Linked DNA regions of Elephas maximus indicus. The protein of the gene in region 1 interacts with the protein of each later gene in a pairwise test. Links are inferred from orthologs where the notes say so. Each region holds a gene or a part of one and is shown in the gene's direction. Other genes may lie near its edges.

Region 1 (7,219 bases):
AAACAGGTAAACTTGATGGTATGTAAATAATACTTTAACGAAGTTGTTTTAAAAACAAAAAAACCAAACCCAGTGCCGTCGAGTCGATTCCGACTCTTAGCAACCCTAGAGGACAGAGTAGAACTGCCCCATAGAGTTTCCTAGGAGCACCTGGCGGATTCAGACTGCCGACCCTTTGGTTAGCAGCCGTAGATAGTACTTAACCACTATGCCAGCAGGGTTTCTGTTGTTTTAAAAAGACATTAAAAAACCCATTGCCGTGGAGTCAGTTCTGACTCATAGAGGCTGATAAGACAATCCACAGAATGGGAGGAAATATTTTCAAATCACATGTCTGATGTTTTCAAACCACATATATCCAGAGTATATAAAGAACTCTAGAGCTAATAATAAAACGACAACCTAATTTTAAAACTGGGCAAAGGTCTTGAAGAGACATCTCTTTAAAGAAGGTATACAAATATCCAATAAACACATGAAAAGATGTTCAACATCATTAGTTATCAGGGAAATGCAAATCAAAACCACAGTGAGACACCACATCATACCCACTAAGATGGCTATAATCAAAAAGTCAGATAATAACAAGGGTGGACTTAGGATGTGAAGAAACTGGAACCCTCATACACTGCTGGTGGGAAACGTTAAATGGTGCAGCCTGTTTGGAAAATGTCAGGAAGTTCCTCAAAAAGTTAAACCTAGAGTCATTTTTTTATCCGGTGATTCCACTGCTGGGTATAGGCCCAAGGGAAATAAAAACAAACTTATATGCAAATGTTTGAAGTAGCATTATTCACAATAACCAAAAGGTAAAAATAACCCAAATTTCCATCAACTGATGAATGGGTAAACAAAATGTGGTCTATCCATAAGGTCGGTTACTGTTATTCAGCCACAAAAAGAAATGAAGGATTGATACAAGCTACAACATGAATATATCTTGAAAATATTATGCTAAATGAAAGAAACCAGTCACAAAAGACCACATATTATATGATTCCATCTATATGAAATGTACAAAAGAGGCAAATCTATAGAGACCCAAAGTAGATTAGTGGTTGCCTAGAGCTGAAGGTAGGGGAAGGGAGGTAACAGCTAATGCAGGACTTCTTTTCAAGGTGATAAAAATGTTCTAACATTGACTGTAGTGATGGTTAATATACTGTTAATATGCTAAAAAATGTTGAGTTCCACACTTGAACTGTATGATATATGAATTATATCTCAATAAAGCTGTTACAAAAAAAATAAATAATATAAGACAGTGGCAGTTCTGTGCCAGGAAGAGAGCGAGGTCTTTGGAGTTCAACAGACTGTGTTAATCCAGGTCCTTCAAGAAGCAGACATCAAGCTAGATTACACATGCACAAATTCTCTAAGGGGAAATACCAGTGTGACATAAAATAGAGAGAGAGAGATGAGAAAGGCTGGGAGAGCCACCAGACTATGATGCAAGTCTGACCTTGAATAAAAGAGAGAGGGAGAGAAGGTTGGGCAGAAGCATCCTAGGCTGTCATGGAGCTACAGAAGGTTTGAGAAGCCAAAATTGGACATAAAAGGAGTTTAGTACCAACCAGGAATGGATCTTAGTATCCCACCTGTACTTTGTCACTGGATGGGAGTAGCCTATGGGGAGCACGTCCTTTGTGCATATGCGGCAATGGATTACAGAGTGCAGCTGAAACCCTTGGTCAGTTGTGCTCCCTGTACTTGGATGTCAGACTGAGGTTCAAATCCCAGTTCAGCAATTTACTAATCATGTGATCTTGCACAAGATACCCTCTCTGAGTCTCATTTTCCTCATCTGAAAAAATGGGGATAAGAGTAGCAAGAATAATGCATATAAACTGCTTAGCGCAGAAAAAGCAGGCAGGAAGTGCTCAGTGGAGCCCTGGTGGTGCAGTGGTTAAAGCCCTGGGCTGCTAACCAAAAGGCTGGCTGTTCGAATCCACCAGCTGCTCTGCAGGAGAAAGATGTGCCAGTCAGCTTTTGTAAAGATTTACAGCCTGGAAATCCTATGAGGCAGTTCTATTCTGTCCTATAGGATTGCTAGGAGTCGGAATGGACTCGAGGGCAGTGGGTTTTTTAAGTGCTCAGTAAGTAGTTGTTAGCTGCTGTCAACTTGGCCGTGACTCAAGGCGACCCTATGCATGACTGAACAAAATGCTGCCTAGCCCTCTGCCAGGATCCGTTGTAGATTGGACAGTGTTTTGTTGTGACCCATAAGGTTTTCATTGGCTTATTTTTGGAAGTGGATCACCAGACCTTTTTTCCTCGTTCGTCTTAGTCTGGAAGCTCCGGTGAAACCTGTTTGGCATATACTAACACACAAGCCTCCACTCGCATGAGGTGCATTGGTATGGGAGGTGCGCGTTCTCCCACTGAAGCACCAATGCCTAACCAGTAAGTGGTAGCTACTACTAATATAATACAAAGGAAGCCTGATGGCACGGTTGTTAAAGCACGTGACTGTTAACTGAAAGGTCGGTGGTTTGGACCCAGCAGCCGCTCCACAAGAGAAAGATGTGGTGGTCTGCTTCTGTAAAGATTTATAGCCTTGGGAGCCCTATGGGGTGGTTCTACTCTGTCCTACAGGGTCGCTGTCAGTCAGAATGGACTTGATGGCAATGGGGTTTACTACTACTATTATTGTATTTACCACCACTAGTACTATTGTATGGAGACCTGGTGGCACAGAGGTTAAGAACTCGGCTGCTAACCAAAAAGTCAGCAGTTCGAATCTACCAGCCACTCCTTGGAAACCCTATGGGGCAGTTATACTCTGTCCTATGAGTCAGAATTGACTTGACAGCAATGGATTATGGGTTAATATTATTGTTCTGAGTATTTCTGCTTAGATTTTATATACCTCCATTAAAACAGTGAACATCACATTCTACATGTAATAAGTATTCTGTTTGCTTTACTTAACATCACAATGTAAGTCTTTTTCCAAGTTATTACGCGCACTCCATAAATACTTTAAAGGCTGCATTGTATTCTATAGTGTTCATATCCTAGTTTACTTAGCCATTCTCCTAATCATTAATTTTTCTTTTTCTTTTTTGTATTTTTACCTTTTATAAAAATTCTTGTGGTGGACATTTTTATGTAGAAATAATTTTTCTTCCGGTATTTGAGATTATTTCTTTAACGTCCCAGAAGACAATTACTAAATTAAAGAGTGTGAAAACTGTTAAGGTTCCTGATGCAGGTTACCAGCTTTGCTCTCCAGAAAGGTATGGCCAGTTTACATTCCAACCAGCAACATATGAGAGTGTTCACTTCACTTAACCAGCCTTGGGTATAATTTTTCTATCTTTAAGTATGTGTTGACTGGAATGGCAAAATGGCATTTTATCTTTGTTACTTATAAGAATGAAAGTTTTCCAAATGTTTGTGCACAGTTAACATTATGTCGTGGTTAGGTGCTGTTGAGTTGATTTCGACTCATATCGACCCAATGTACAGAGTAGAACTGCACCATATATTTTCTTGGCTGTAATCTGTATGGGAGCAGATTACCAAGTCTTTCTCCTATGGAGCCTCTGGGTAGGTTCAAACCGTCAGCCTTTTAGTTACCAGCCAGGTGCTTAACCATTGTGCAACCAGGGCTCCTTACAGTTAATATTATACATGAAAGCAATTCTTTTGTGAATTGTCCTTGCACAGTAACCTACTGAGGTCTTAAATTTTTACAATTAATTTGTACAATTTGTTTAATAATAATTGCCAGGGACTCCTCCCATTATTTTGCCTTTTGAGTTATTTTTATATACAGAAGCCTTTTGTTAGTCAAATGTGATTTTCTTTTGTAACGTTTTTTGCCTTTTTAAAACTTGTACAGCCCATCCTCCTGTAGAGTGCAGACCTTGCTTTACAGAGAGTTCAAAGCCAAGCCACAACTGAGCTGCTCAAATAACATTTAAAAATTGCGAATGAGTAGAACTTAGTGTAATGACCACCTACTGCAATGACCTTCTCAGAAGCTCATTTTTATTTCTCTTTTTGTATTCTCGGACCCAGGATATTCACTATTAACTGTCTAGGAAAGATCCCTCTTGTGCAAAGGTGCTGCCCAGGGCTTCCAGAACTACAATGGAGGAGGAACCTGGGGAGAAACCTGGTCTGGATTGGTCCACTGCTCCCAGGGACTTCCAATTTTATCACATGGATCTGTATGACTCTGAAGACAGATTGCAGATCTTCCCAGAAGGAAACACTAGAATGAGAAGAGAAGTAGTTCAAGCTGAAATGACCAAGGAGCCAAGAGCAGCAGCAAAAGGTAGGGCTCAAAGAGATCTTCAAGAGGAGGTGGATGAACTTGCTCATTTATATGGACTTGAAGATGATCACGAGTTAGGAGATGAGTTTGTTGGTGAAAACACACTCAGGGCGGGTGTTTCAGAATACCCTCCTTACGTGATGAAGAGGAGAGAGTCAGCGAGGGAGCAGAGAGACTGGCGATTTGGTGGAGAGGCAACCGAGGCCGAGGACCTGAGCTTTGGAGGGTGGGGCTCGAGAGGCCAGTGCCAGGACTTGAGGGAAGCCTATAGGTACACACGTGGCCGGTCCAGTGAGGAGTATGAATGCTATGTCATCCCAGAGGAGGAGGATGAGGAAGAAGCTCCCGACATCTTTTGTGTCACTTGCAAAACTCCAATAAGAGCTTGTGAGAAGGTTTTGGATGAACACAAGGGACATGAGGTGACTCCACTCGATAAAGCACTGGAAAACGCCAAGGTAAATAGGCCTCCTTAGTTCTTCCTCTTGATAATACATTTGTATCTCAATTATATCATCAGGGGATAAATTTAATACACTTTCTATAAAAAAGAGAGAAAAAACATCGAATTAAAGACTTCTTGTGATCCTCTGTTTGATAGGATGAAATTCACAAAAACATGTTCAAATTGGAAAGGCAGATTATTGAGATGGAAAATTTTGCAAGTCATTTGGAGGAGGTTTTCATCACTGTGGAGGTAAGAGTATGCTTAATTACCTTGTCATCCACACGTTGCTGCCATCATTGGCTGAGTCGACAGCTATTTCTGTTATAGGTTGTTGTTGTTAGGTGCCATCAAGTCAATTTTTGACTCATGGTGACCCCGTGTGACTGAGTAAAACTGCCCCATGGGGTTTTCTTGGCTGTGATCTTTACAGAACCAGATCACCAGTTCTTTCTTCCCTGGAGCCAGTGAGTGGTTTTGAACTGCCAACCTTTCAGTTAGCAGTCAAGTGCTTAACCATTGCTCCAGCAGGGCTCCTTTGTTATATGTTAGAGAATCTATTTTCTTAGAACATGAGGTATCACCGGTGGGGAGCCTTTCCTGACTGCCCCATACCCACACCCCTTCTTCTGGCCTCCCATAGCACTTTGGGCATATACCTCATGGAACAAATTACCTGTTTATATTCCCTACTGAACTACGAACTCTCAGAAGTTGGAGGCTGGGTCTTCTTTGTCTTTATATCCCTAGTCCTACTACAGAGTATGTTTCAGGATAGGCATTTTATATGTTTGTTGAATGGATAATGCTGAAATTTTCCAATCACGATCCTTCACCTTCATTAGCATCTTTCTCCTCATGCTCCTTACACGCAAATCACCAATTGCACGTGGCTTAGACCCCTATTCTAACAAAGATGATTTTAAGATGGCGTTATCAAGCAGAAGCCCCTCATTTGAACTTAGGCAGTAAAGAGGCAAATGGCTTTCTTTTATCTCATTTTTTTTTGTGCTAATATCTCAATCACTGAGAGAACCCCTTGGATGCTATTTGATGCTACCGGCTTGTGTAGCTGGAGATATTGGGGTTCCATGTAGTTTCCCTGTTCTCAGGGTTAATTCTAGGCTGTTGGAGATACTTGCAGTATTCACTACATGAAGTTATGTGTGGACCATCAAGCAGTTTTCAGTTGTTTTAATAGCCAATGTACCCAATTCTGCCTGTTAATGCCACTCAAACACAAACATATTTTTAGCTGTGTATGGACTTTAAAAGATAAGTTTACATGTTGTCTTTGCCTATTTAGGAATTTCCAGACTTCCCTGAGAGATCAGTAAGAAATTTAAGAATCTAGGGTCAGAATTCCCATCCTTTGAAGGCCCCTCTCCATTGCAACCCTAACATGGGGAAGAATGTGAGCTCTTGAGTCAAGGGACAAAGTTTCAAAACTTAACTACTGAAACAGAAGCTGCTGCTCTGTCACTTATGCCCACTGGTCATTATTTGAGTCCCTGGAGTGACACAGAACAAGATGAGTCCCTTTTTCATGGACCAGCTTGGACAAAGCATTGCAAGACACCCATCCTGTCTTTGATAAGTGTTACTTATTTTTCATAAAATTAATAAGTTTCTGTGCCTGTCACCAAACATGTCAGAGTTCCCGGGTATGTCTTAGGAAGTATGTCACATACCACTATGATACCAGAACTCAGTCTAGCCTTCCAGATGAAAAAGAGCAGGGCTGAGAGCCATAGGACTCCCCTTTCCACTCCTTTCCTGTGATGCTGTACTTCTATTAATGTAGCCTCAGATTGTATCAACAGAAGCACCTCACATAGATTAACTAAGCCCCAGGACCCTTTTCCAGGAATCTAGATCTTTGTTACCCCTGATACTAAAAGGGAGAGAGCTATTACACTGTGGAAGGCACAGAGAAGGCACAGCCCTTTCCCCTCCAAGGACAAAACTCCTTACACTCTGCTCTGTCAGATCACAGATTGGAGTAAAGTGTCTTCACCATCAGGAAGGACTCTGAGGTCATCCTTTCATTTTCAACAATGGAAGGTCATCTATTGCTTTTCCCTCTTTTCCACCATTCTATCAGGTCTTATGCATATAACAGGTGCTCAGTAAATACTCCTTGAATGATTGATACAACTCCCTTCTTTGGAAATGCCCTTGTCATTTGATGAGGATGATATCAGTCAGAACCTACAGTGCTTTCCTGGGCTTCCAAGCTGAGTAATAGGGAGTCAGGATGCTCTAATTAATATTTCTCACCCACTGTGCTCCAGGATTAAGTATTGTCACAACCCTTCCTCAGCCATCCTGCATTTTCTCATCTATTAGGTAGACCCACCTGGCAATGACCCTTATTCCCTTTTGCCTTTATCTCTTCCCTGGTTGATGAGGGTCTGTGTGATCCTGGTGTTTGTATGATCCAAGCATCAGGGAACAGAGGTGAGCAACATGAGATGTCAAGGGCTCAG
Region 2 (7,556 bases), on another chromosome or scaffold:
ACATTAATTTATTTTGTGGTAAAATGGTCACTAGCTTTTTCTCTTTTTTAGTCTAACAAGATGTAATATGTGATTCAGAGCTTTGGGTTCTCAGACAGTCTGCGTCAACAATCTTCCCGTTCTCTCACCGTTCACTATTAAACTGCTGAGGCTTGTTAGCTCTCATTCTGGTTATGTTTTTTAGTCAAGGCTAAATTAAAGAAAACGGGGTTTACAAGGTTCCATTTCCTTAAGAACCCTACAAGAGAGAAATTGTTAGCAAGAGCTGAGATTCAACCCACGACAGTGGCTGCCGAGCCGCTGCCCTTTAAACAGCTCACATGAAATTCTAACATTCCCTTCTGTGACGCCAAGATCGCAGGATCGAAAAAGGGACCCAAGCGCCGGCGCGGCCACCTGCTGGGCAAGCGCAGCCGGGCGGGCCGGAAGCCCGGGAGGCGGTGCGCGGGTGCCCCGCCCTCTGGGTGGGACCCCAGGCGGGGCCGGGGCGGGGCCAGCTGCCGCGGGAATCCCGGGGCCGCCCCCTTTCCTCGCCCCTCAGCTTCTCGCCATGGCCCCTGCGCTTCTCTTGGTTCCTGCTGCCCTCGCCTCTTTCATTCTAGCCTTTGGCACCGGAGTGGAATTCGTGCGCTTTACCTCCCTTCGGCCACTTCTTGGAGGGGTCTCGGAGGCTGGCCCCGGTGAGCGGGAGGGACCAGAGGATGACTCCGGGATAGGGGGGTGGAGCCGGAGAAGAGGGCGCGGGGGCGGGACTTGGAGACCAATGACAGATGGGAAGTCTTGGAGAGGGAACTCGAACCTTGGAAGCGCCGAATCGCGCCAGGGGAAGGGGACCTGCGGGCTAAATTAGGAACTCGGGGATAAGAGGTTTAGAATGGAGAGAGAGTGAGGACTGAGGGGGAGGGGAAGGGTGATAAGCAGAGTATTTTAAGGAAAGGGCTTTATGGGGAGGACTGTAGAGAAGAGTTTAAAAGAGGGACCATTTGGAGAACTGAAATGAAAGAGAGAATCCAAGGTGGCCTCTCCAGCCACGCCTTTTGTGACTGCCCAACGTTCTTTGTTCTGTGACTCCTCTTTCCCAGCTCTGGAGGATGCCTGGGGAAGAAGGAAGAAACGGGAAAGAAAAAGTGACATGGGCAAGCCTGGAGAGGAAGCATGAAGGCTCTTGGAGGCATTAAGGGACATGGCCTGGTGCTCTAAGAGCCTAGGATAAGGAGTGTTTCCTGCCATCTTCCTGATCTTTTCTCTGTTTCTCATCTCCCCCTAGATGTCCGGCAGGGATGGTTGGCTGCCCTGCAGGATCGCAGCATTCTTGTCTCCCTGGCATGGGATCTGGGGCTCCTGCTACTATTTGTGGGGCAGCACAGCCTCATGGCAACTGAGACAGTGAAGGCATGGTCGTCTCGGTACTTTGGGGTCCTGCAGCGGTCACTGTATGTGGCATGCACTGCCCTGGCCTTGCAGGTATGGGGGCCTGGCAGGCATATTCTCAAGGAGGACAGAATCTGTGGGAGGGACACCCTGGCGTGGAGGGGCATGGAGTTTAGGCTTCTGATAAAATTTGGATTTAGGAGGAGAGCTGAGGATGCTCAAGACTCTAATCTCAGCTTCTGTTCCTCCACAGCAAATATCTTACTCTTTATCAAGAAGGGTGTACTCATCACTGGCCAAGCACAGTATGTGCATTCTCACCTTTGCAACTTTGTTCATGTTTTCCCCCTGCCTGGGATCCCCTCCTTAACTCCACTCAGTCCTACCAGTTCTTCAAAACCCACACCCCTAAGCCTCAAGGGAAAGCTTCCCAGTGAGTGCTCCTTTGTCTTCTTATTGGGTGCTTGGTACTGGCTACTTCGTGTACCTGTCTGATCACCCTACCCATTCTGTAAGTCCTCAGGGTAGAGACAGGTCATCCTTATATTCTTGGAACCCCACCCAGCACGCTCCACGCGGTGGATGCTCATGATGGGGGTAGGGGAGAGCTGCAGATCAGCCTGGATGGGGCAGCCTCTGGGACTGGGTATCTCAGGGGTGGGCTGCGGGGATACTCAGCTCCTCATCCTTCCCCAGCTGGTGATGAGGTACTGGGAACCTGTACCCAGAGGTCCTGTGCTGTGGGAGGCTCGAGCTGAGCCATGGGCCACCTGGGTGCCCCTGCTCTGCTTTGTGCTCCACATCATTTCCTGGCTCCTTATCTTCAGCATCCTTCTCGTCTTTGACTACGCTGAGCTCATGGGCCTCAAACAGGTGAGGCTTCCAGATCCCTACCTGGGGCCTCCAGCCCTTTCTAGAACTCCTCTTCCCCTTCCAAGGATTTCAGTCCTCCCCCTCCAGTGCTCTACCACCTTCCCCTTGCTTGTGACTCCCTCACCTCCCTTTCCTGTCAGACAGTCTCCCCTCAGCCCTCCCTCAAAGCCTAGCAACCATGGGCCTCCTGGGCCTGGGGAAGATGCATGGACTAGATAGCCATGTCAGGAGCCCAGCTCTCTGAAGGGGAGTGCCTGGGCCTGAGTTCTAGGAGGAGGGTGCCTGGGAGAGAAAAGAGGAAGCCAAGTTATGAAAGGAAATCCTGGTGGCATAGTGGTTAAGTGCTAGTGCTGCTAACTAAAAGGTCGGCAGTTCGAATCTACCAGGTGCTCCTTGGAAACTCTATGGGGGCAGTTCTACTCTGTTCTATAGGGTCCCTATGAGTCGGAATCGACTCGATGGTAATTTTTTTTTTTTTTCGTTTTAAGTTGTCAAAAGGTCTTGGCTCTATTTCTACACTGTTCTCCCTGTCCTAGGTGTACTACCATGTTCTCGGGCTGGGGGAGCCACTGGCCCTGAAGTCCCCCCGGGCTCTGAGGCTCTTCTCCCATCTTCGCCACCCAGTGTGTGTGGAGCTGCTGACCATACTGTGGGTGGTGCCCACCCTGGGCACTGATCGCCTCCTCCTTGCTCTCCTCCTCACCCTCTACCTGGGCCTAGCTCATGGGCTGGACCAACATGACCTCCGCTACCTCCGGGCCCAGCTACAAAGAAAACTGCACCTGCTATCCCGTCCCCAGGATGGGGAGGCTGAATGAAGAGCTAACTTCTGGTTCCAAGCCCTGTACTTCCTCTTCCCCTCAAATTCTAAATCTGTCAACATCCAAGTGCTGGCTACTTCGGGCCAGAGGCCCCAAACTCTGAACTGCAGGGCCTGGTCCTTCCCCTACTTGAGACTCCATTTCCTGAGGTCAGCTCCATACCCTAAATTCAGAGTTTTAGTCATTGGACTCGAAGGTCCACTTCTCACCAGCTAGGGCCCTCTCCTCTCCCTAAAGAGGCTGGTGTGGAACTCATCTGTCCCCTCACCATTTGGGGATTGAGCTTGAGCGCCCCCTTCCAGCGCCTACACCACAAGGGAAAGGATCCGCCTTGACCACTCCCCTGGCACTGTTGCTCAGGGATCCCCCTTCTCCAAAGCTGGCTTCAGTCCCAAGGAACTGGATCAGAGTCTGCAAGTTTGACTGTACTGGGCGTCCCTCCAGGGCCCACGCCTCGAGGCTCCATCTCCAGCCCTTATTATCCTCTCCACCCGCCCTGTCTTTCCACCTTCCTAGGTCCCGCCACTGGTCACTTTCCCCTGGGCCTCGTTGAGGGGACTCTCCCGCTCTTGTTTTGGATAGCTTAGGGCTCCCTGCTTCCCCGAGGTACACGCGTTACAGGAAAATAAAATTTAGCCTGACTTTTCTACATCTGGCATGCAATCTTTAGTGTCTCTCAGGCTGCAGGAATGGGTTTGGGAAGGAAGGAGAGCGGGAAGCCGGCCGAGACAAACGCAGATCTGGGCGACCACTTCTCGCGGACCCGCCCCCACTTGCCCGGAGCTGCCGAGTTCCCCTTCCTTCACAACCCCAATTCTGTTGCAGACCAGGGGACTCATGGGAGAGGGGGCTGCTACTCTGGTTGGAGAGCGAGCTCCCAAAGCTGTTGGCCTGGTGCGCCTGTCCCGTCCTCCCCCCTCGCCCCGGGGCCCATTCGCATGGGCCCGGACAGCGGGGCAGCAGTAGCCCTCGACCCCTCAGTAACAAAGGCTGTCGGGGGAAGGCAAAGGCATGGGGAGGAGCGGCAGGAGATGGGAAGGGCGGGCCCGGCTCGAAGCAGCTGCAGCTTCCTCCTCAAGTCCCTCGAGGGGCCTGAGTCACTCACTAGCCGCCGCCGCCCTGGGTCGGAGAGCTAGGAGTGGGGGTCTGGTCACCTAGGCACTCAAGGGCCAGGGGGCGGAGGGATGAGGGCCTCTGGGGACAGGGCAGAGACTGTCGGGGGTTCTGACGCGAAGAAGGGAGTCCCGTAGCGGAACCCCAAGGCTGGGTCTAGGGTAGCGAGACTCCGCCCCCTCTTCAGGCTCCGCCCCTCGCCCCGGTCCCTCTCCCCATTGTCCTCAGACAAAGCGGTTGCCGCCCCCCGCCCGGCCCCCTGGTCCCTGTCTAGGTCCCTCCTTCTGGGCTCCCTTTTTCCCTCCTCCTATCCCTCCTTCTCCCCTCCCTCCCGTCTCCGGATCTCCCTCGCTCCCTCTCTCCTCCTCTTCCTCTCTCCGGACACCGGGCTCTCCTGCACCCCCTCCCCTGGGGCCCAGCGGCGCGTGAGTTGACCGAGGGGTTTCAGACTTGGGGAGGGATGTTCTCCTCGCTCTGGTCCCTGCTCCCTTCCCAGTGCCGGGCCTTGGGCTGTCTCTTCTTTGTGCCGAGATTGTGCAGTCAGAGCCGGGTAGGGGCGGCCGGCTAGGTGGGAGTTCCCTGAGAGCGGGGGACCGGGGCAGCGGACTCTCAGGCTCTGGGAAGAAGAGGCGTGGAGCCGATCCTCGGCAGGCCTGGGCCCCGGGGCGCAGCCAGTGGGGGAGGCAGGCGGTGGTGGCTGGACAGGGTGGGGGTGGATGCCTAGTTCTGGGAACATGCTGGCAGCCCAGACGCCCGGGTTCGGAGAGTCCCGGGGGAGGGTATTTCCCTTGACCCGCCTTGGGGGCGGAGTGCGGGGCAGGGAGGTGGGGGCTGGGGGACCGGAGGGGCGTGGCCGATTGACGCTGGAAGGGGAGCCAGGAGACTTAGGGCCGCGCTGAAGCGCGCCGGCCTCCTGCCGCGGCGCTCACTTTCCCCTCCACCCCTTCACTTCCCCTCTCCCCTAGACCCCTTCCCTCTCGGACCCCTCCTCACTTCCCCAAGACCCCCCCACCCCAGGTCCCTTCATCCTGTCCCCAGCGCTACTGTCTGACCTCCCTTCCCACTCTCAGCTCCCGTGGGGTAGCGGTGAGGCAGCCTCGCCTGAACCCGGCCCTCCCCTCCCCCCGCTTCGCTTTTCTCTCTTTCGCCCCCAGCTTCTCTTTTCTCCCTTCTCTCTCCCTGTCACATCCTTGGGACAGTAAGACTTCTTAACAATGTGGTGCCAAATCTGACTCCTCCCTCTTTGCCCTGAATCTGCACTCTTCCTTTTACCTCACTGCCCCCCCCCACCAACTTGGCTCTTATCTTTTCTCTTTATTTTCCCAGCTTTTCCCTTCCTCTGCCTCCTCTTCTCCCTCTTTTCCCCTGTCCTCACCTCAGCTCCTCTTCTCTGTCTCCCACCTCCTCCCTTCACTTCCTTTCCCCCCACACTCAGTCTCACCCCCTGAGCCTCTCTCACAAGCCTCTCCTTCCTGTCCTCTGCCCCCAGCACTCCACAGCCTCACCCCAAGGCGACTATGGCCACCATCCCAGACTGGAAGCTCCAGCTGCTAGCCCGGCGCCGGCAGGAGGAGGCAGCCATGCGTGGCCGGGAGAAGGCTGAGCAAGAGCGCCTATCCCAGATGCCAGCCTGGAAGCGGGGGCTCCTGGAGCGCCGCCGGGCCAAGCTTGGGCTGTCCCTTGGGGAGCCTAGCCCTGTGCCCTGGACTGCGGAGGCTGGACCTCCAGACGCAGACGAGTCTGCTGTCCTCCTGGAGGCCATCGGACCAGTGCACCAGAACCGATTCATCCGGCAGGAGCGACAGCAGCAGCAGCAGCAGCGGAGTGAAGAGCTGCTTGCTGAGAGAAGGCCCGGGCTGCTTGAGGCTCGGGAGCCAAGACCCAGCCCTGGGGAGACTCGGGATCAGAGCCCCAAGGGACGAGAGTCAAGAGAAGAGAGGCTCAGCCCTAGGGAGGCCAGAGAGAAGATGCTGGGGACACGGGGAGCCCGAGAGTCTAGCCCCAGACCTTTAGAGGCTCAGGACTGGAGGCCAAGTCCAAGAGAGATGGGAGATAGGAACTACCGACAGTCAGAGGCACGGAAATGGAGACTGAGCCCTGGAGAGACTCCAGAGAGGAGTCTAAGACTGGCAGAGCCTCAAGAACAAAGCCCCAGGAGGAAAGAGGTGGTGGAAAGTAGACTGAGCCCAGGGGAGTCTGGCAGCCAGCAGCTGGGCCTCACAGAGGCCCATAAATGGAGGCCTGACTGCGGAGAGTCTCAGGAACAGAGTTCGGCACAACTAGAGGCATCACAGTGGAGGCCGAGCTCAGGAGAGGAAAGCAAAGACTTCTCGGGAGAATGTGGGAAAAAAGAAGACAGGCCAATTCCAGGGATGGTCCCAGAAGAGATTACAGGGCTATCAGAGACCCTAACAAGGGAGGCTCGAGACAGCAGCCCCGGAGGAGTGGAGGCAGCAGAGCAGAGGCCTGGCCTAGTGGAGGACGGTGAGAGGGGCTTGAGGCTGACAGAAGGGTGGAAGTGGACCCTGAACTCCGGGAAGGTTCAAGAATGGACACCCAGAGACACAGAGACACAAACTCAGAAACCAGAACCTTCAGAGTCCGCTGAGAAGCGCCTGGGGCCTCCTGGGGTAGAGCCTGGAGAAGGGGAGGCTGAGGAGGAGGAGACAGGGGCTCAGGGCAGGCCTCTGAGCATCCTGCAGAACCGCTGCTCTGTGCCCTCCCCCCTCCCACCAGAGGACGCTGGGACTGGAGGCCCTCGACAGCAGGAAGAGGAAGCAGTAGAACTCCGGCCCCCGCCACCAGCCCCTCTGTCTCCCCCACCCCTAGCCCCACCTGTCCCCCAGCCCCCTGGGGATCCCCTCATGAGCCGTCTGTTCTATGGGGTAAAGGCAGGGCCAGGGGTGGGGGGCCCCCGCCGCAGTGGACACACCTTCACAGTCAACCCCCGGCGGTCTGTGCCCCCTGCAACCCCGGCCACTCCTGCAGCCCCTTCCACAGCTGATGCTGCAGTCCTTGGGACCGGGAAGAAGCGGTACCCGACTGCCGAGGAGATCTTGGTTCTAGGGGGCTACCTCCGCCTCAGCCGCAGCTGCCTTGTCAAGGGGTCCCCGGAAAGGCAACACAAACAGGTAGGGGAGCAGCCAAGCCAGACTTCTTAGGAGCCCACTCGCCAGTTCTCTCTGGGCACCGGTCTTTTGTTCATTTTTATACTCCTGTATTCTTGTCTCCCTCTATTCTTTTTTAATTCCTGCCACCACCCTTCCTCCCTCTGCACACACACCCTTTCTTCTTGCTGCCTTCCTGTTCCATTCATCTCAGAGCCTGCCCAGCAATCAAGCACTGTCTCTGGGTGTGCTGTCCAGGGTGTGCCCAGGG
Region 3 (7,280 bases), on another chromosome or scaffold:
AAAAGTGGGTGAGAGAGTTGTGCAGTTGGCAAAAAACATATAATGTGTGTGTTTTTTGTATAAAAATATGATAACTCTAGGATGGCTAAGTTCTTTTTCTTTTAAAAACAACAGCCACCACCACCAAATCAGTCATGTTATGGTCACATCTCAAAAAATACCTTGCTGTTAATATACTTAGGAACTAGGTTAGAAAACTAACAGGGAAATTGAGAGCAAACAACACAGGACTATCTAGTCTGGTGGTCAAGTATGTGTTACAGGAAACATGTTCTGAGAGTTTAGTGCAGATGAAGATCAGTGAAGGCAGGAAAGGCATGCAAACTTCAGAGAGGTGGGATCCTAGGTAGCCATGAAGGATGGCCTGGCTGGGCTTTGTTCTTTATTTCCCTCCTCTGCTGCAGTGAGTCCTGGATTCCTTAAATAGAGATGTTTATCCCCCCCTTTTTTTTTTTTAATTAAGCGCCAAGTTACTTATTTTCGCTAATTTACCGTAGTTCACCTACTAAGTCTTGTGGTCTTTATTTAGTAATCTTGATTAATTTTTTTTTTTTTTGCCATTGTTTTAGAGGGTGATCTTTGCAGCCACACGTATCAAGATTTGAATGTAAGCTCCGATACTTACTGGCTTTGTGGTCTTGTGCAAGTTCCTTACTCTACTCTGGTCCTGCTTCCTTATATCATAATGATCCCACTTAACCCGCGTTGTTTGAAACTGAAATAAGATGAAGTAAGAGAAACAAGTCACGGTGTCCTATCCCAAGAAAGTGCTCAATTTGCTGTTATGATTGCCACATGATGAGAGATGATGATGTTAATATAAACACATGGAATGATCTGGATATGAGGAAGCCCTGACTTGGGTTTCATTGCTTTGTCACTGTTAAATGTATATGCATGTACACTCACCAAAAGTAAATGGCATTTTCCTTGACTTTATAACAATCACTGCCTTAGAAATAGTAAAGACGGATCCAGGTACTTAGGAAGGTTCTATTCTATTATCTGTGAAGGCACCAACCATGTGACTCAGATTCCTGAGTGGAGGCAAAGCAGCATCCTACATGAGAAACTGGCAAATGCTCAAGAGATCTTGGAGGATCTGCAATTAGTTCACACTGTTTATTGGGGCTTGGACACCAATGTAAAAGAATTTATGCTTTAAGTCAATGGCAGTTGTCAATGAGCCTGTGAGGGAATCCTTGCTTGGATCCTCTGGCTTTTACCGCAACTCATATTGATAATAACAAAAAGAGAAGCCTCCCAAGCAAAAGGTCAATCTAATCCAATCAGTTAATGCAGAATTATGGCACCAAGTTTCCACATCACTGAGTGACCACGAGTATAGAGGTGTGTACCATAAAATAGCTGTGGGTGTTAGACATTTAACAAGTTGCTTTATTCCTAATTGCTGGCATTTGCTTAACTGTTTTCTTAATTCTAATTTATGTTTTATGTTCCAGTTTGTTTACATAGCCCATAGTTCCCAATTGCCTCTATTTGCTTAAATGTTTCTTTAATTTTATTTACAATTTTATATATGTTGCTTTGCTTACATAACTCATTGTTTGGAGTGGGCTAGAAATAACCATAAATCCACATTGCTAATTAGACTCATCCTCATGACTGATTAGTCAAGATTATGAGCCTAGAAGGAGGGCAGGGGAGGAGGCCTGATAGTGATCACAGGATCATTGAATTTTAGAGCGGGAAGGAATCTTAAGAGTTTAAAGCATCTTTTAGATAGAATTCTATGGTTTTACGTCTTCAACGTTGGAGAATTACAAAAGGTTGCTGCTTGCTCTTGCCCCTTTATGCAAAAATGAGTAATGATTTGAAAAACAAGCTTTGAAAAACAAGTTGAGAATAAAGAGAAAACCCAATCAATGATGACTATGAGTCACCCATAATGGGCGGCTTGAAAGTAGAATTGATATAAACTTGATATATAAATGAGGTATAGAGGAGTAGGGAATATTAATGAATGTGAGGGAGATCTTCTTCCAAGGTAAGTAAGCAGAGTGGATTGTTTGGAATTCCCTTCTCAGCAGCTGTGCAGTTTGCAAGGATTTTAGCTTGCTTAACTGTAAGGTTAGCTATTAGCTTTGCAGTAGGGAGTATTTAAAAGTACACACAACATATGAAGGAAAGAACCTGGAACTGAGTAGCCTGCTTCATTCCAAGAATCCATCTGGCATTTAAAGAACTGCTTGTCCTACATTAAACCCTGCAGAGTAAGAGCCATTTTTCATATCTTCATACCCCTATTTTTGGTTTCAGGTAAGATAGCTTACTGAGCTTGGGAACGGAACAAGGAGACTTTTCAAAATCTTCTAGCTAGGGTGGGATCCATGAATCCAACATGGAGAAAACAGATGTTGAAGCCTCTGTTTGGAAATCAGGTTAAGAGCAAGCTTAAGTGTCCACAAGACGTGGAAGTCCAGATCCCAAAACAATGTGATGCTTTTAGTCACTTGTAGACCGAGTACAATGGAATAATAGGTCGTATAAAAAAAACCGCAGTGCCGCGTCGTATAGATATGAAAATCTGGGGCTGCAGTCACCAATATTAAATGACTCATGCTGATGGGGAAAGTTGACAAGAGAATCCAGTCTATCCCCATACTTGTCCTTGGTACAAAGGGCCCGCTTGTACATCTGGAGGCAGCTAAAAGCAAACGCTGCCAAAGGAGTAGTCCCTGAATTACTAGGAGTTGCAGAGTGTCTAAAGAGTTGTAGGTCTTGAAATAAGCCCTGGACTTCAAGCTCTTTCCTAACTCCCAGACCCGCTGCCCTTTGATATGGTCTCATATGCTCCTCTTTAAAGGAAAAGAGTATGGCATTCAGACTGGACCAGTTCAGATGCCAAGCCTCCGTGAGGCAAGTTTTCCATTTAACTGGTCGCCCCTTGAAGGACAGTGCAAGGCCCACGCATGCCACCACCTTGCAGCGCCCTCTCAGTTACTATGGTGATGGCAGAAGGGGCGGGGCCACCATCTCTCCCCTGCCTCCGCCCAGGAGATTTCGAACACTCCAATTGGGACAGGTCTCTCCTGCCTCTGACCCGCCCCATTCTGCTTCAAGCGCGATGCGATTGGCCCGGACAGGCTCCGGGTACTCTGAGGGTACCACCTCCTGACAGGAAAAGCGGGAAAAGTGTACCAGGCGCTGTCCGAGGCGTGAAGCTCACAGGCGCTGAGGGGAAGAACTTGGTTGGCTTTGGAGCAAGTTGTTCCATGTTCCACAAATGACCCCCCCGCACTTCAGACTGATAACAGTATGGAGCTGGAGCCGGGGCGCGGGCACAACGTTTGAGAGCAGGGGTCGATGAGGGGGCGAGAACGCGACGCGGATGTTAGGATTCCGCGGCGCGCCCTCCAGCGCTGGGGATCAGAGGCCAGAGGGGGCGGTGCCAGAGGCATCGGCGGGAGGCTCAAGGTCCAATGAGCGCGCGCCCCGCCCCCAGGGGCGGGGCGTGAGGATGAGCGCCCCCGCCCTCCTCGCTCACCCCCACCCCTCCCCCCGGGCGCCGGGGCCGCAGTGAGTGAGTGGCACTGGCAGCCTGTCAATCCCTCAGCCGAGCGGCCTTCGAGCCCGGTCCGCGGCGGCTGCTGGCTGGGTGCGCGGCTCCGGCTGTGGCGGCGGCGACTTCTCCCGCCTCATCAATCTGCTGCTGGTCCGGCGCGCGGCCCGCCGGGGCCCTCCATCGGGCTCCGCGCCCCCTCTGCGCCAGCCCGCCAGCTCCCAAACTTTCCTCCTCCGCCCCCCTCGCTCCCCTCGGCCAGCCCGCCGGCCTCCTCCGCCGCCGCCGCTCCCTTCCCCGGGGCCGCCGGGGCTCGGATCCCGCCCGGCCGAGGTGGCGGAGGCGGCGGCGGCGGCTGAGGGCGGGGAGTGCGCAGGCTGGCGCGGGGGCCGGCGGGCGTCCCGGCAACTCGGCCGGCGCTGAGGAGCAAGTTGCGCGGGGCCGCCCGGCGGGGCGCGCGGCGGCGAGGAGGCGGCGCGGCGGCCGTGTGAGGGCAGCGGACGCCGCTGCCTCCACCTCCGCCACCGCCGCGGAGCCCGGCGCTTCCGCCCGCCGCTTTTCTCCAGCCTCGGCGGCGGCGGAAGCCAGAGCCGGGCGCCCGTCCGCGCCGCCTCAGCCGCGGGCCCCGCCGGCCGGGCCGCCCCCTCCCCGCGCGGGCGGGGAGCGCGCGGCCGCCTCCCCCTCCCCCTCCCCTTCTTTCTTCTCCTCCCTCGTCGTCGCTGCCGCCGCCGCCGCCGCCTCAGCCTTCGCCTCAGCCGCCGCCGCCGCCCGCTCCCGCCCGCGCGCGGCGGGATGGACGATCAATCCAGGATGCTGCAGACTCTGGCCGGGGTGAACCTGGCCGGGCACTCGGTGCAGGGGGGCATGGCCCTGCCACCTCCCCCGCACGGTCACGAAGGGGCGGACGGCGACGGCAGGAAGCAGGACATCGGCGACATCCTTCACCAGATCATGACCATCACCGACCAGAGCCTGGACGAGGCGCAAGCAAAGTTGGTGTCGTCTCATTAAGCATCTTTTGTGTGTGCGCGGGAGCCAGGCCCGCGGCCGAGTCGGGGCCGGGGTGGCGCCGGGGGCACGGGCCTGAGCCCCCGGCGGGGAACTTTCTCCGAATACCGGCCGCCCGCCCTGGCCTTGGGGACTTGCCCGCGCCCCTCGACGCAGGCGGGAGTCGGGAAAGTTGCACTTGAGGTGTGGGACGGCCCCGGTGCCGCGCAGCGTTTCTGCTGTACTTTCCTGCCGTGTCCGGCCCTCTGGCAGCCCGGCCCCCTCCCACAGGTTTAAACCTCCCGCCAGGACCCCAGTGCACGCTGCCCCGAGAGGGGCCGCGGCCGCGCTTCACGGAAGTGCAACTTTCTCCCCCGGCCCAGAGTCCCGGCGCCGGAGCTCCCCTTGGCCACCGGACGACCTCGCTGTGCCGGCGCTGCCCCAGCCCCGGCGCTGGGCGCTGGGCGCCTCCCCGGCGGGGTGGGGTGCCGGCGGCCAAGTTTTCGGGGAAGGGAGGGCCGCTCCGCAAACTTTGTGGAGCTGTCACCCGTTCGCTCTCGGCATTCGGCCGGCAGGTCGGCGCGGCGGCCGCTCCCCCTGCGGAGGGCGGGCGCGGGAGCCTCTCGGCGGCCGTCCTCACCCCCGGGTCGCTGTCGCTGCCCCGGTATCAAGGCTCCCCGCGCGGGTTTGCGCCCTGCGGTTACCGAGGCTGCTGCCTGCCCGGCAGATGGGTCGCGCTTCGTTCTGGCTGGAGCTTTCGCCGGAGCTTCCCGGCTGTCGCTAACTAGTCAACTTGAGTTTCTGTAGACTTCCCATCGTTCTAAAGAGCCTTCCAAAATAGGGGACCGGAATTAAATCTTGGGTCTAACTTAAAGGAAGGCGCCATATTATTCCATAGGTGATGCTAATACCTTTGTGTTTTGCTGTTTTGTTTTTTAGGAAACACGCTCTGAACTGTCACAGAATGAAACCCGCGCTCTTCAGCGTCCTGTGTGAGATCAAAGAGAAAACAGGTAAGGCGCTGCGCCCCTGCTGTGGTCTTGGAGACCCCCGAGGTGAGGTCGGAGCTACTCCTTCCACTCTCCAGTTGAGAGCTGCTGCTTTTGGGCACCGCCATCTTTGATCATTCTCTCCTTCCCACCTCCAGATCTTAAGAAAAAACTGCAATAAATCTGGAGTCGATTTCTCAATTTCGCTTCTGGTGTAAAATGAAGTGTAGATGCGTACCGGTCGCCGTTCCCAGGCGGCCGCCCCTGGCTGCAGGCGGGGAGGGGTCCTGAGCGCCAGCAGCCCTCTCCCGCTCCTTTCGCCTTGTTTGTGTGTCAGTTTTTAAAAGGAGCAACGGGAGACTGGATGCCAGGGACCGAGTCCCTGGGAGAAGCATCGTCGGAACTTTGTTCTACTTAGTCTTAAGCTTCACCTCCACAGATAGAAGAATGGATGCAATTGAACAGACCCCAAATAGCATGTTTGAATTAGTGTTTTAGGTGGGAAGAATACTTTTAAGAAGTGAGGAAGGATAACAGTGTGTCTAGGCATATACATTGTGTTGCATCGGTTATACTTTTATTAAATTTTACGATTGAAGTTATTGTATTTGTGCAGGTACTTAATATATATTATAAAGTAGAAAAATGTCCGCGGGTACAGGTTAAACAATTTTCCAAATGTTCAAGGCAGGGGATAGATGAGAAAACAGGTTTTGCAGAAGTGCTGGAATGAAAAACTACAAGTACAAACTAGGCAAATTTTTTTTGGCAGTTCACTTCAATTTAATTTTCTTGTTAGACTTTCTTAATCTGAATATATTTTAATCTTGCGGTGGTAGTACCAGCTCGAATGGAGGAAGAGATTTAATTTAGATTTTTGGTATGTGTTTGGCATTATATAGCAAATACGTGCACTAAATAAGCTTTACTGTTGAATTAATTTCTCTGTGTGTGTTGGATATACAGTATTTTAAAAGTTGCCATATTTTAAGTTGAGCCAAAGAAGAGAAAGTTAAAGTCCAGGATATAGTAATATCCAAGTGATGCTATTTAAAATATGATTGTGTTTAAATTAAGTGTACATATAATAGCACAATGCGTATAATTGTTAGGTTGATAGGCGAGCTGCTCTCCTTTTAAACAGATTTTTTACTCCATAATACTGTTCTGATACAGTAATCAAGAAAAAATGATGAGTTATTGCTGTTAAAATATATGCTATAACCATAATAGCATATACTAAGAGAGCCTAAAGAATATTTTTCTTGCTTTTTATTCACATAGTGTGTGTGATTTCTTAAGATCGAGTGATTCTTTTAAAAGGTATTTTACATTTTGAAAACCAAGGGCATTTTAAATTATTAGTTTTTTTAGGGTTGATTTTTAATTATCTTGCATTGTGATTTAAAACAGATAATTTTTACCTGACTATAAAATAAGATAAAGAAAAAAAAGATATCAAGCATTAAATCTTGAGGATTCTTAGTTTAGAAGCCTAAATGTGTGTAATTTTCTGTAAATTATGTTGCTTAATGTCCAAGGGTTTTCTTGCTATCAGGGCTCCACTTCAGTTTCTGCTGACAGTTAAGCACTGGGGTATTGACTATGTTGTGAATATTAAGATTGATTCAACTTTATACAGCGTTATGGTACTAGGGAGAGGGGATTGATACTCCTGCTCCATTCTTGTGATTTATATTTAGTTTTTTGCCTTTTTTAAGTTTTGGCCTAGCCAGCTTGGGAACCACACTTCAGCAAACTGCTTTTCTTGTTTAGACATT
Region 4 (7,080 bases), on another chromosome or scaffold:
ATTCTTCTGCTTGTACAGATCAAGTAAATACTTAGATTTCCCATCTATTTTGCTCCTAGAGACACCATGACTAAGTAGCAAATGCCTTAAGTCTATACTAGTCAGACTATTCTGATTACTGCTTGAACCTCGCTGGCTATTATGGTAACCACACCCACCTTGTCTTTGTTGATTGAGTGCCACCACTTGGCCTCTACCACCACAGGATCCAATCAGCCCCATTGTAGCATCTTAATTCACTTAGGGCAGTTCCCACTGTCAAATCAGACTTAAAAAAATAGCTATCACAGCAGTCTTCAAGGATGCTGGGACTCCCTTCACAAATTTGTTCCTCACCATTGTGGTAAAAAGTGTGTTTTCTGGGTACAAATGTGTGGGTCTGCTGGGCTAACCAGATAAATGTACTCTAACATGCTAATTTCCCTAAGTCTTCAGATACCTTCTTCTACAGTATACCAAGGCAGACCTGGTACTTCAACTTGATTAGTGTAGCCCAACACGTAATCCATGCTTCAGTGAACCAACCAAATAAACAGATCCTTTCCTAACCTCTTGAACTGAAACATAGAATGATGAATCTGTGCTTAGCGTGCCCATATCAATAAACTCAGACTGATCCAACTTCATGTTCCTTGCACCATTATCCCACAGCCTTAATAGCCATTCCTGCACATATTCCCCAGGTTTCTGTTTGTACATATTAGCAAAGTCAAGCAGTTCTTTTGAAGTGTACCATACCTATTCCTGGGTCACTTTGTACTTCATCTTTTGGGGCTCACTGGGACTTAAGTCTAGTTATAGGTCTAGAAGCAAAAATAGAGGGTGGGGAGTGTTCTGAGAACATTTAGCAATGTCTTATAAGGCAAAAAAAAAAAAAAATTTTTTTTTTTTATAAGGCATCTGCTTTAGGCGATGCCCTGGGCAATGCCCCAGATGCCTCCCCAGGTGATGACTTGGATGCAGCCCCAGGTGATATCTCAAACAAAGGCTCTTCAGACACAGCTGGGTTAATCTCATCAAGTTGGGATGGAAGGGCTAATAGTTTTACTGGGGAAGGTCATTTAGCTGACAAAGATGGAGTGATTTCTTCAGATGTGAGTGAAAGGGCTGGTTCTATTGGCAGGAGTAATTCCATGGAATTTAGGCACTCAGTGTCCCCGGGTTCCTGACTATGTGACTGTGTGTTCCCATACCAAGTTTCAGGATCCCATTTCTTCCCAATCAATGCCCCGCTTTAGCTTCAGACACCATTTGAGGTTGGGAATTCTACTGGCATTGTAATTCACCCACTCTTTTTTTTTTTTTTTTTTATGATAAGACTCTCGGTTTGGGTTTTGGCGGTATCAGCTCTGTTACTAGAAGAAACAAGGCTTTCTTTCAAGGCAAGTGGTAACTTTGAGGTCATTTATGTGGCACTTGAGTTGTGACTCTGAAGCCCTGAGTTTGTTTCTTTCACCACTTTTTCTGGCAAAAGGAGGGCCGACCAACCATCTCCCTTATACTTTTCATTCTGACAAAATTGTAGAAAAGTATCAAACATATAATCACCCCAAGTCTTGTCTCTCACCAATACTTGATCTTTGGTGGGGATATTTTGTGTATTTCTATTGCCACCTTATGCCATAAATTCACAGCGCCCTCTTTAGTACTGGAAGCAGAATCATCAACAACTTTAAGACTAACCAGATTTGAGAACCAATTTAGAAAACTCATCCTTACGATTTTGTTTCTGTAGAACCACTCTTGGTGCCAAATGTCTTAGGCTGGGTTCTCAAGAGAAGCAAAAGCAGTGAAATATATATATACATATATATATATTTATAAAGAGAGAGAGATTTATCTCAAGAAAATGGCTCATGTGGTTGTAGAGGTTGTCAAGTCCCAAATCCTTCTTTGGGTCAGGCATCAGGCTGGAGGCTTTTACTGACTCATATAGCTGCAGGGGCTGATGAACCCAGGATCGGTCGTCAGACAGTAGGCTGTTGGCTCGCTGGTTGCAGAGGCTCACGAATCCAAGATCAGCAGGCAATACAGTAGGCCACTGGCTCAAGTCCTGAGACCAGAGGTCAGATGATGATGAGCCAGATACAAGATCCAGAGCAAACAAAAGCCAGCGAGCTTGGCAGAATGACCATATATAATGGATGCAGGCCACACCCCTGAGGAAACTCCCCTTACAACTGATTGGCTGATCACATTGTGGAGGTGATTACATTGTATCACAAAATGAAGGATAACTACATCATTACACAACTGCTAAGCCACATCATTATATAACTGCCAAACCACTGAGAATTACCGCCCAGCCAGGTTAATGCACAACCTTAACCATCATATTTCCAACACCACAGTTCAAATGTGTCAATTCTTTTTCTATTGCCCAGATTTTGCTTGCAATATGAGTAGCGTCCTCATGAAAAAGGAGAAGCTACACAGAGAGACAGCAGAAGATGGCCATGTGACTGTGGAGGTAGATGCAACTGAAAGAGAAGGAATGCCGAAGATTGCCAGGCGCTTCCAGAAGCTGGGAAGGAGGCATGGAACAGCTTCTCCCTCAGAGCCCTCAGAAGGAATCAATATGGCTAATATCCTGATTTGGACTTTGAGCTTCCCAACCTGTGAGACAGTAAATTTCTGTTCTCAAAATTTTCCCAGTTTGTGGTATTTAACAATAGCCCTAGGAAACTAAGACACTGGCAGAATTAGACAAATCCACAATAATAGTGGGAGATTTCAACACTTGTCTCTCAGTAAATGATAGAAAATTAGTAAAGATGCAGGTTTGAACTACATTATCACCCACCTTCACCTGACTGGCATTTATAGAGCTCTCCGCCCAACAATGGTGAAGTACACATCCTTTGGAAGTGCATGTAAAACATTTACTAAGTTAGACCATATGCTGGATCATGGACAAGTCTCAAGAAATTTAAAAGGATTGAAGCCACACAGAGTACATTCTCTAACCACAACACAACTCAAGGAGAAATCAGTAACAAAAAGGTTTGGAAAATTCAAAAAATATTTGAAGATTAACACACTTCCAAATAACCCATGATCAAAGAAGAAAGCACAAGGGAAATTAGAAAATATTTCAAGCTGAATGAAAATGAAAACATAGAAATTTGTGGGATGTAGCTAAAGCAGTACTTACAGAAATGTTTGTAGGCTTAAAAGTTAAGGCAATAAATAAGAGAGGTTTAAAAATCAATGATCTAAGCTTCCACCTTAAAAAACTTACAACCCAAAGTAAGTAGAAGGAGGAAATAGTTAATATAAGAGCAGAAATCAAATGTGATAGAATCAATAAAACCAAAAATTAATCTTTGAAAAAATTAGCCTGGTCTGATCAAGTAAAAAAGAGAGAAAACACAAGTGACCTGTATCAAGAATGAAAAGGATGCATCACTACAGATCCCACAAACAAATGCAGATAATAAGAGAATATTATTAACTACTTTAGGCCAATATTCCATAACTTAGATGAAATGGAAAAATTCTTTGAAAGACACAATTGCTATCAAAATGGACATGATAGGAAATACAATATATGAGTAGTCTCATATCTATTTTAGAAATTGAATCAGAAATTTTTTAAAAAGTTTCCCAGAAGGAAACTCCAGGCCCAGATGGCTTCACTAGTGAAATCTAGCAAATATTTAAGAAAGAAATAAAATGTTGGAATGGGCGCTAGAAAGCCAGTGTCTTCTCTGGGGTGTCCCTGAGCTGGCTGGGCTGGGTTTGCCTGTCAGGACTCTGCAGGTGACAGGATGCAGCCTGGGCAGCAGGAGGTGCTGGCAGGCAGCTGCTTCTTTAAGGGTGGTGACATCACAAGGCTGCGGAATGCCTTGGCCATCCTGGAACTCAGCGACCTTGGCTGTCCGTGGGGTGTCCACGATTGGATCTCCATCCCCATGGGGTCGTAGGCCCGCATGTGACTGCGGAGGCAAAAGTGGCCATGGCTGAGGGGAGTGAGCTGATGAACAGGCTCATGAGCGAGAATGCTGACCTCAAGAAACAGGTGCGGCTCCTGAAGGAGAACCAGATGCTGAAGAGGCTGCTCAGTGAGAGCTGCCAGGAGAGTGGTGGCCGTGCAGCCCGTGAGCTCCTCCTCCCCAGGGCTCCCAGCTACCCTGAGGCCTGCTCTCCTGGGGGTGCAGGTAAGACCTCGAGAAGGTCATGGGAGGCTGCCTCCCTCTCCAATCTGGCCACTGAGTCCACCCTAGAAGATGGGTAGGGGTGCCAGTCAGCAACTGCCACGGAAGGGTTGCCAGTGGCTTACACAGGACACACAGGTTCTCATAGCTCTCCAGGACCACTGGGCTGGGCTTGGCTGGGCTCCTCTTGGCTGGATGGTGTGCTAGGCTGCGCTCCTTCTTCTCCAGGAGTGTGGACCAGCCCCGGCAAATGACATGAGGGTGGCCAAACCCACAAGCTCTGGGAGCCTCTGTTCCCATCTTGTCAGTCCACACCCTGCAGCATGCAGGAAGTGTCGCCCATGGTGGGAGGACCTACAGTCACAGACAGAGGGAGAGTGACTTGGTTTACCACGTGGTTAGTATCAATTCAACATTCTAGACCTCCTATAGGGAAGTAGTTTGCTCTGTTTTTATAAATCAATTCCTTATGTACATGGGAAGTATAGTTTGTGGCATGGTGGATGGTGCATGATGTTGGTGTTTGAGTGACTCAGATGGTGGGCAGTGGACGGGATCCTTGGCCAGCACTGCCTGAGGGAGTCTGGTGACCAGAGAGCTCAGCTTCCTGCTGGAAGTGGAAACTGCTCACGCTCGCTGGCTGGACAGAAACAGAGGAACACATCAGCTTGTCCAAACCTCAGTGAGGGGGCAGGTGGCCACGCAGGTGCCCTGTCATTCCAGGATGACAGGGCAGGTGGCCTCAAGGCTGCCCTGTGAGCCCTGCTGTCTTGGAGCTTCAGTTGTTCCACCAGGCGTGAAATGTTTTTCCTCTCTTGAGACTTCCTGAAGTGGCTACTGATTCCTCGGTGAGGGGCTTGGAGCCCTGGACAGCAGCTCACTGGTGTGAAGGATCCCAGGCGTGGCTGCGGGACCCTGTTTGAATACCTAGCTCTGCCTTGGGCACAGTGTACACCCCAACAGGGTTTGCATGCAAGAGGCGGGCCCTGTGTCCTGTCTGCTGGCCCCAACGGAGTACATGGGGGAAAAGCTGTGATCATGCATGTCCCAGTCCAAGGGACCCATCGCAGGGTCCTGAAACCTTTATTCTTGAGGGATCCTTGAGGAGGGAAGATAGGCTGAGAGGGACCCTTGGAAGAGATGGGTGGGAAGAGGAAAGGGACTCAGAGATCAGCCATGGCCAAGAATGGCTGGAGAGCTGGTTTTCCCTGAGCCACCAGCCTGCACCCATGTGTTCTGCACCCATAAGGCCTCATGTGGTGACCCCCTGCATGTCAGGCTATCAGTCCCAGGCCACTGCTCAGTTGTTGTGTCCACAGAGGCACTTTGCTTCCATGTCTGTGGTCAATGCTGTGACAACTGCCAAGAGCCATGTGATGTGTGCCGCCTCATGTGTCCTGTGTTCCAGGGACTCAACCCACCAGGCCTAAGCTCAGGGCACAGAGCCACCATGGGTCAGCACGGGCAGCGGTTCTGGGGAGCACTCAGAGGTGGGCGGCGTTGGGAGAGGGTCGAGGCTCTCACTTGGGCAGGCCATCCCCTGGAAGACCTTAGTGAGGAGCTGCACCTCAGTCCTGGCCAGGGTGAGGACCTCTTGGTGCCTCCTCACCCCAAGCCCCAACCACGTGGCCTGATCAGCCCCCTCAAGCCAGGCCCTGCCTCCTCAGTGCTTGTTGCCTTCATGCTCAGCCGTCTTTCCTGGGTTTTCCTGCAGCTTCAGGACGCGTTGGGGATCTCTGGCCCAGGGTGTTGGCCAGATCCTGGGTACTGCTGCTGTGGTAGCCACTGTCCCAGGGGGTTTTCCTGCTGTGATGTGAACTTGGGCGTCAAGCTTAGGGGAGGGTCTCTTTCTTTCTCCTATTCCCTGGTCCTTCTCTGACCTCGCTGATGGTGCTTGTAGTTACAGGTGTGGTCATGTCTGCTCCACACCCACACATACAGCCAGGGCAGTGTGGGCCTGAGATGACCCCCTTCCTTTGTTCTCCTTCCCCAAGTCCCCACTGAGACCCCAGCTTGGGACACTTGGCAGGCTGGTTGGGCAGGGGGGCCCATGGCAGGCTGCCCCTAACCTCTGCTGCTTCAATGGGCAGCACTGTGGGGGCCCTTGGTGTCCAGGCCAGATGCACGAGCTCAGGGCAGTCCAGGCTCTGGGCATTGCCCTTAGGGTTGGTCTTGACCTTTGCCTTCTGCCCCCATGAGAGGGTCTTCCTGGAAGGAGTGCAGCCTCGGCCTTGGGGATTCCAGTTTGGAAACAAACACTGAGCTGTTTCACAGATGGCAGAAGTTCACACACGGAAGACTTCGACACAGCAAAGCTTGTTTTGTTTCCCGGAATCCCTTCACTCCTTGTTCAGAAGACACGTGTTTTTGAACCCATTTTTCTTAATTATACAATATGTGCTCACGGTAAAGTTTAACGCCACATAAGGATTTAGATAGAATTCGAGGCTCCATCTTTGCCACCTGATCCTGTGCCCCAAAGGCAGCTGCTGTCAACATTTCTCAGGTTTCTGTCTGAAATTCTTGATGGATATTCATGCACAGTTCTGCCTAGCCTTTTGGTTTACCTAAGTGGGATTGTATTTTTCTGCAATTTTCTCTTCACCCCCTTAACCATCCATCTCAGCCCCATTCTCCATCATCCTCCTCCATGGATCGTCCCATCTTACACCAGTGTTTAGAGCACAGACTCTTCCATGTGGGGATTCCACATCCCATTTGGTGTACCCACAGTGGGAAGGCTGCCAGCTTTCCATGATCAAGTTTCAGTGAGCAGCGTCATATACACACCTCTGTGAACGTGGGTTTCTGGGGCCAAAGCCAAGTGCGTTTGTAATGTTGGGACAGACCCCACCACGTTACTCTTCACTCCCACCACAGGGGGGATGCCATTCCTGACCTTCCTGACACAGCCCAAGACTGT

What was found.
Region 2: the proteins of FSD2 (region 1) and PPP1R18 interact in binary tests that used the Homo sapiens proteins (3 or more experiments, as listed by UniProt). The two-hybrid records come from large-scale screens. The link is inferred for Elephas maximus indicus from reciprocal best matches to the Homo sapiens genes FSD2 and PPP1R18.
Region 3: the proteins of FSD2 (region 1) and PBX3 interact in a two-hybrid assay, tested with the Homo sapiens proteins (3 studies listed by BioGRID and IntAct). The two-hybrid records come from large-scale screens. The link is inferred for Elephas maximus indicus from reciprocal best matches to the Homo sapiens genes FSD2 and PBX3.
Region 4: the proteins of FSD2 (region 1) and SPATC1L interact in binary tests that used the Homo sapiens proteins (3 or more experiments, as listed by UniProt). The two-hybrid records come from large-scale screens. The link is inferred for Elephas maximus indicus from reciprocal best matches to the Homo sapiens genes FSD2 and SPATC1L.

Annotation. Positions count from the first base shown.
Region 1 is NC_064831.1:73,852,448-73,859,666, forward strand, and holds the start of FSD2 (fibronectin type III and SPRY domain-containing protein 2), read left to right. Parts: upstream 1-4,098; coding exon 4,099-4,743; intron 4,744-4,886; coding exon 4,887-4,982; intron 4,983-7,219.
Region 2 is NC_064819.1:91,004,567-91,012,122, reverse strand, and holds the start of PPP1R18 (phostensin), read left to right. Parts: upstream 1-4,519; 5' UTR 4,520-4,603; intron 4,604-5,667; 5' UTR 5,668-5,695; coding exon 5,696-7,309; intron 7,310-7,556. Other genes in the region: NRM (nurim), read left to right, coding at 551-680, 1,268-1,464, 2,068-2,244, 2,781-3,062.
Region 3 is NC_064827.1:76,699,830-76,707,109, forward strand, and holds the start of PBX3 (pre-B-cell leukemia transcription factor 3), read left to right. Parts: upstream 1-4,233; 5' UTR 4,234-4,315; coding exon 4,316-4,515; intron 4,516-4,908; exon of another isoform or gene 4,909-5,174; intron 5,175-5,449; coding exon 5,450-5,523; intron 5,524-7,280. UniProt on the Homo sapiens protein: Transcriptional activator that binds the sequence 5'-ATCAATCAA-3'.
Region 4 is NC_064820.1:231,321,241-231,328,320, reverse strand, and holds the start of SPATC1L (speriolin-like protein), read left to right. Parts: upstream 1-3,958; coding exon 3,959-4,160; intron 4,161-7,080.